Xenopus tropicalis: one gene and its partner. The protein of the gene in region 2 binds, or shares a complex with, the protein of the main gene of each other region. Links are inferred from orthologs where the notes say so. Each region holds a gene or a part of one and is shown on either strand. Other genes may lie near its edges.

Region 1 (3,500 bases), on a different chromosome or scaffold from region 2:
TTCATACTCACTTTTTCAGTATATCTTGTTTTTTCTGCTCATCTGAAGTTGGAAGCCCCATAGATTTTTGCCTTTGGTCATACATCATCTTTTCCACCATACTGCGGGTCTCACCGTCTAGATCAGAAAGCTAGGCAAGCAAAAACAACAAGGGAGATAAAGCAGGTAAGCTATCATATATGGTAGAAATATACTACAAGTTGTTAGTAGACTTTGCCTTGTCTGGCCAAAAATCACTTTCTCCACCGTCAGCAGGCGGCAGTTAATTAGCCTGTGTATGGGGCACTAAGATGTGCCTGCCAGACCAATATCTGGCCAAAAATCAGATAGATATTGATTGGGCAGGTATAAAAATCATGTCGTTGATGTGGTCCTTGTCCTGATGGCCTGCATCCCATCAGTACAATCCTATCATTTGGCCTGAGGTCTGAACAGTTGGCTCAATCCAATATCATCCACGTCAAGGTGGGCATATATGAGAAAGATCTGTTTGTTTGGCTTACTATTATGGCCTGAACTACTAAATCTTACTGTGCAGCACTGGCCACAGATTGCAACGGGTTTTTTGCCTGGATTTATTCCCAGCAAGCGCTTCAGTTAACTGCTTGAAGATATAGGAAGACTTTGTAGGGCACTAAATCTCCCATCTGGGTCCAGTGTAAGACTTTACTATATTGGCTGCCTACTATATTGGCTACCTATTGAACTCTTGCTGGAGTCTACTTAAAACTGGTGACATTTGACTATCCTATGGTGTAAATACCAAAATGTGATTCACCTACAGGGAGGGCAATTTAATCTTTGATGAAGGTTCAACTTGCCTGAAATATGAACACTTGAATGTATATATGAATTTTAAATATTTACCCCTATATGTAAGTTTGCCCAGTAGCAGTAACGCATAGCAACCAGTAAGATGCTTGCTTTTAGTCAGGTGACCAATACACGCTACCTACTGATTGGCTGCTAGTAGTTGTTGCTCCTGGGCAAACTCATGAATCATGTTCAAAAAGCAGCCCAGACAAATGATGCATGACGTATGGACACAGAATGAAGTTCATACCATATGGGTACAGAAATAGTCAAGCTCTACACAAAAAAAACCCCTGCTGACATCGGAACTAACAGACACAGGCTGAGCATAACTTTAGTAAGAATTTATTTTGTATTAATCAGTCATTTGAAGGCTGTCTGCTCCCTTTGCCAGTGTTCTGTAAACTACTACTAGCATAAGAGATTTCAGAGTTAATGGAAACACAGTGGAGGCCTTTAGGTGAATGATTTCTATAGATACAACACTGTTCTTGCCTGCTATATGTTACATTCTACCTGCAGGGTATATACAGGAAAATCAAGTCAAGGCATCCTGAACTACAGGTCCTGGTATTTTTGAAATGGAGACTCCCAACTGAAGACCAAACAGTTAAGGTGAATAGTGAACATATAAAGTAAATATAAAAAGTCCCACAGGATCTTCCCGGGGAACTTGAACCTTCACTGGTAATCCCAAACCCTCCCCTTCTTTAACAGAAGTTGAACATTACCTCGAGTAGGATACCATTGACTACCTAAACCAATGTACCGTATATATCCTGAACAAAACACGCTTGTAGAACCAATGTCAATTACTTTTTTAACATATAAAAAGTCCAACATTTATAATGCATACTATTAAGCATGATATTGGTTTATAAAAAGAAATGACACCCTACAGATTTACTCAAGGACTGAATCGTCAATAAATACAATAATATGCCCTTTAAATTGTCCAGTGAATATGCAGAGTCCATATTTTTTAGTGTCAAGTCAATGCCTTCATGTTTTTTTTGCAATAGCCATTACATTATTTTGTGTTGTTTATAATTTATTTGAAATAATACACAACATACCTTGGAGTTCTCTGGATTTATTTTCTTAGTATTAATTTCAGGATCTGTTAAGACAACGCGGCTCCACCACTCCATTGTATTGATCTACAGGGTATACAGAAAGGATTAGTTGGAGAAGAAGTGTAAATAGAATGCAGGTCACACAGACACCAGACAGACTCACCTTTTCCAGGTGCACTGTTACCACTTTTCCATCCTCTATTAGCCATGAGCATTCCTCAACTTTAATGTCATTAAACAGTTCACCATCTAAAACTGGCTTTTGTCCCCGAAGCCCAATCGTCAGTCTGTGTCGTTTGATATCCACTTGCACATCCTTCCCTTTGAGCCGGAAAGAAACTGGGAATGGCACAACCAGCTAAGGAAGGAGAAATTAAATAATTGAGATTTGATTGGCAACCATATTCTTTTTAGATATTCTGGCACTTCTCAGATATTATAGATGATGCATTAAAGTTCCTGCCTCAGTGAAGGCTATAATTGAATGGTCCCTATCACAGTAACACAAACTTGGTTAGTTTTCTTTATCAGGTTAGTTTAATTTATCTACCATTTCTTGAAATTGCTTAACTTAAAAAGGTATTGTAAATGAATGGTCACTTTGTGACTTGCATTACCACTTTTCACTACTGCTGTCTTCAAACCTTTTTCATACAATGCAACAGAGCTGTCAACACATGAATAAGCACAACAGTGATGGCTATTTTTCCTCATTTTAAAAGGAGAAGGAAAGGCTAAGTCACTTGGTGCCAAAATGTTAGGCACCCCCAAGTGACTTACGCTTACCTTGTACCCCAGGCTGGTACCCCTGTTAGGAGAAAACAGCACCAGCCCAGGGTACCTGTAGCTGAGCGCTTCCTCCTTCTGGCTTCGTTTTGCAAGGACTAAACGACAGGCGCATGCGCAGTAGAGTGAAAAGCCGACTTCTCTGTTAAAGTTCGGCTTTTTCACTCTACTGCACATGCGCGCGCACTGAGGCAGGAAGGAGGAAGCGCTACAGGTACCACAGGCTGGTGCTGTTCTCTCCGAACAGGGGCACCAGCCTGGGGTACAAGGTTTCATATATGCCACATGTTCTGGACGTGGTACATTGTTTTGCTAGTCAGTATAATTTTGAGACTACATCCCCTAAACTTTTAGACAGGAGTCAATCCACAGTGCCTATGCAGAACCAGAAGTTGGGTTTTTGGTTGTTCTTCACTATAGTTGCTCTCAGTAACCCTACTGCATTAAGCTCTTCTTAGGTAGTCGAGCTTGCATTCAGTAACCTTACTGCCTAAAGCTCTACTTAAGAAGTCGTGCTAACATTTTCAGGCTGCTTTAGTTTTGAAAATACAGCAATTCAAAAAGGTACCATCACCAGGCTATCAGGTCCTGGGGACGAAATTATTGAAATTATATACTGTCAGTATTCCTTTAATCAGCAGTTTGCAAAAAGTTGCATAAAGTTGCATAAACAGCTATAGAATTTAGAAAACAAAATGCTTCCTCGTTAAAGGAGAAGGAAAGGTAAAAACGAAGTGAGCTTTATCAGAAAGGTCTATGTAAATACAGCTATACGTACTCACAGAAAAGCTGCACTGAGTTCTCTATCAAAAGAAACACATGATT
Region 2 (3,500 bases):
TTCAGGACCTTTCAGTGAGATATATCTTAGGTTCTCTTTCTCAATCTTATTAATTTTCAATGATTATGTATATGGCAGTATTAGGTCTGATTAGGTCTCACAAACAAAAACTTAATGCAAATCATAGGTGTAGTTAGCCCCCAGTCCCTAGCTTACCTCTCGCAGGCTGATTTTGGATGTATAAACCACATCGGATCCTTCTCTTTTGAACACTGGATGAGACTTGTCTTTTAGCACAAAGACAATATCAGCAGGAATGTTGCTGGGGGTCTCGTCACCCTCTTTAGGGAAGGTGATCTTGGTGCCTTCTTTCCAGCCTTTTTTCACCTGAATGGTGAGTATCTTGTCCTCATTACGCACACTTCTGCCATCGGGCCCCAGCCTCTTGTGCGAGATTTTCATTTTTTTGGTGCAACCATTAAACACTTCCTCAAGAGATACTGGGAGTTCACGTGTGATTGGAGGATCCTGCTTTCTGGGTACAGTGTCCCGTCGACCCGATGCAGACCGAGGAAAGCCTCCCATGCCACCCATGCCCCCCATTCCTCCCATTCCCCCCATGCCACCGAAGCCCCCCATGCCACCGAAGCCAGCAAAGGGATCGTCTGTATCCATGTCGTCATCATTGCGTCCAAAAAAGCCGTCAAATGGATTTCGACCACCGAAGAATTCGGCAAAGACAGCATGAGGGTCACCGTGGAAAGTGTAGCTATAGGTACCATTGGGGCCGCCGCTGCTTCCTCCACCACCAGGAGTTCCCTTCAGGCCTGATTTGAGAGAAAGATTATAATTTAGAGACAATAAAAATTACATATGTAGTTTATTATATAGTCCCTCCCCAATGTGCTCTGCATTTCCCCACATTTAACAGCCAAGGGAGCTATTGGCTATGCCGTCAGTTCTATGTGCTCTATATTGGGCATGGAATACAGGGTGGAGGGGTAGTAGCAGTATTACAAAGGTAACTGGCTATGGTTCAAGAAAATATCAGGAAGGAATTTGCAAGACTGAGGAACAAGCTTGGATTTGCAGAACATGAGGAAATCAGCAAGAATAAACATGCAAGCTTTCAGAAGAAGCAAATGATACATTTTTTTCTAAGCAGGGATTAGAGTCCTTTAATCAACTACACTGCAATGGTTTTGAGAGTATCCTATTTACTCTGAGCAGATGGGCCTGCTAACCAAAGAGCATTATTATAATCCAGCATAATGACTTTTATTATAGCCCCCCCCCCCCAATATGCTACAATGGGAGCTACTGAATCACAATTCCCTATTTATCTGGTGGCTGTAAATATATTATTTGCTGTTGCCCCAGGAGCTATATCCCTACTCCACCACATGCTGCAATAGTACAGCACCCAGATGTAGGCATATTGGGAAAAGTCTGCACTGCTTAGATCTGTACAAGAAGGGGTTAAAACATGAATGCTGACAGTACCCACTCCCAGTGGAAAGCATGGAACAATGGATTCTGCATGTGAAAAGTTTCCCTGTGCTGTCACATCTGTGTGTTGGATGAGCAAAGGGCACAAGGGTTCTTTTGTAGCGATCTGCACACACAAGCACAAACACCATTTTCTGAAACAAAAATATTTTTTCCTCCCCCCCCACCCCAATTTAACTTCTTAAATAGGCTGAACTAGTGCTCTGGCTATTCCTGTTATGCGAGTGTTACTTTGCATGTAACACTGTGATGCTACGTAGCTGGTCAGAGTGATAAATCAGAACAAATCTGACCAAACGGACCTGACATCTCCCTGTGAAACTGCCAAACGGACAACAAGCAAAGAGCCAAAGGCCCCACACCTTTCATAAGGTGAAGTCAGCTTGTGGAGGGCATTAACCATCAAAAGTCCTTCAACTATCTTGCAGAATGGCCAATACACAACTTTTGAATTGGTCTTCATTTTTTATTTTGTATAGTTATTGAATTATTTGCCTTCTTGGAAATAGATCAGTGTCTCTTACTCAACCCACTCCCTGGTTGCTAAGGTAATTTGAACCCTAGCAACCAGATAACTGCTAAGATTCCAAGCTGCAGAGTTCCTGAACAAAAAGTGAAATAATAACACTACAGCCACCCCTCATAATAAACAAGGGATGCGTTGAATTCAGCACCTGGCTGAATCCCAGCCTGTTCTGCAGGATATGGATTCGGTTTGGATGAACGCTTAAAATCATGTGACTTCTGGACAGCTGAATGTGACAATTTTTGGTTCACAGTTGATGCCCTTTTTTAACGGAATTCAAGTCTGAATGTGCAAATTAGTGTTTTGATTCAGTTCGGCATTCGGACTAATGTGAAGGACCCCATATTTGGCCCTGTTAGGCGCACACAGACATACTTACACTCCAACAAATATACTCTGGAGCCCCACGACTTCTACAAGATCCATAACTTATTTAGAGCAGCTGTTACTTATACAAAGAACACATGCTACTTGTACAGGTATGGGACCTGTTATCCAGAATGCTCGGGACCTGGGGATTTTTGGATAAGGGATCTTTCTGTAATTTAAGATCTTCATACCTTAAGTCTGCTAAAAATCATTTAAATATTGAATAAACCCAATAGGCTTGTTTTGCCTCCAATAAGGATTAATTATATCTTAGTTGGGATCAAGTACAGGTACTGTTTTATTATTACAGAGAAAAGGGAATCATTTAACCATTAAATAAACCCAATAGGGCTGTTCTGCCCCCAATAAGGGGTAATTATATCTTAGTTGGGATCAAGTACAGGTACTGTTTTATTATTACAGAGAAAAGGGAATCATTTAACCATTAAATAAACCCAATAGGGCTGTTCTGCCCCAATAAGGGGTAATTATATCTTAGTTGGGATCAAGTACAGGTACTGTTTTATTATTACAGAGAAAAGGGAATCATTTAACCATTAAATAAACCCAATAGGGCTGTTCTGCCCCCAATAAGGGGTAATTCTATCTTAGTTGGGATCAAGTACAGGTACTGTTTTATTATTACAGAGAAAAGGGAATCATTTAACCATTAAATAAACCCAATAGGGCTGTTCTGCCCCAATAAGGGGTAATTATATCTTAGTTGGGATCAAGTACAGGTACTGTTTTATTATTACAGAGAAAAGGGAATCATTTAACCATTAAATAAACCCAATAGGGCTGTTCTGCCCCCAATAAGGGGTAATTATATCTTAGTTGGGATCAAGTACAGGTACTGTTTTATTATTACAGGGAAGAAGGAAATTATTTTATAAAATAAAAATGATTTGCTCATAATGGAGTCTATGGGACATGGCCTTTCCGTAATTTGGAACTTTCTGGATAACGGGTTTCTGGATATTGGATCCCATACCTGTATCAGTCAATTGCCTTTTTACAACCAGCCATATTACACATACTCACCCTCTTCTCCATATTTATCAAACACTTCCCTCTTCTTAGGGTCACTGAGCACATCGTAGGCCTCCGCAATCTCTTTGAATCGATCCTCAGCTCCCGGGTCCTTGTTCTTATC

The links. The genes of interacting proteins can lie anywhere in the genome.
Region 1: the proteins of dnajb1 (region 2) and nudc are in contact, whole or in part, in a crystal structure (PDB 7NDX), measured with the Homo sapiens proteins. The link is inferred for Xenopus tropicalis from reciprocal best matches to the Homo sapiens genes DNAJB1 and NUDC. Residues at the interface, in NP_006136.1 of Homo sapiens: His166, Lys181, Lys182, Met183, Lys184, Ile185, Ser186, Asp201, Lys202, Ile203, Ile235, Phe237; in NP_006591.1 of Homo sapiens: Pro102, Gln103, Ile104, Lys105, Glu106, Leu107, Ala112, Leu115, Gln116, Ile119.

The regions. Positions count from the first base shown.
Region 1 is NC_030678.2:77,792,934-77,796,433, reverse strand, and holds part of nudc (nuclear migration protein nudC), read right to left. Parts: intron 2,248-3,500; coding exon 2,053-2,247; intron 1,974-2,052; coding exon 1,890-1,973; intron 131-1,889; coding exon 12-130; intron 1-11. UniProt on the Homo sapiens protein: Plays a role in neurogenesis and neuronal migration. Necessary for correct formation of mitotic spindles and chromosome separation during mitosis. Necessary for cytokinesis and cell proliferation.
Region 2 is NC_030679.2:134,720,667-134,724,166, forward strand, and holds part of dnajb1 (dnaJ homolog subfamily B member 1), read right to left. Parts: coding exon 3,389-3,500; intron 768-3,388; coding exon 157-767; intron 1-156. UniProt on the Homo sapiens protein: Interacts with HSP70 and can stimulate its ATPase activity. Stimulates the association between HSC70 and HIP. Negatively regulates heat shock-induced HSF1 transcriptional activity during the attenuation and recovery phase period of the heat shock response.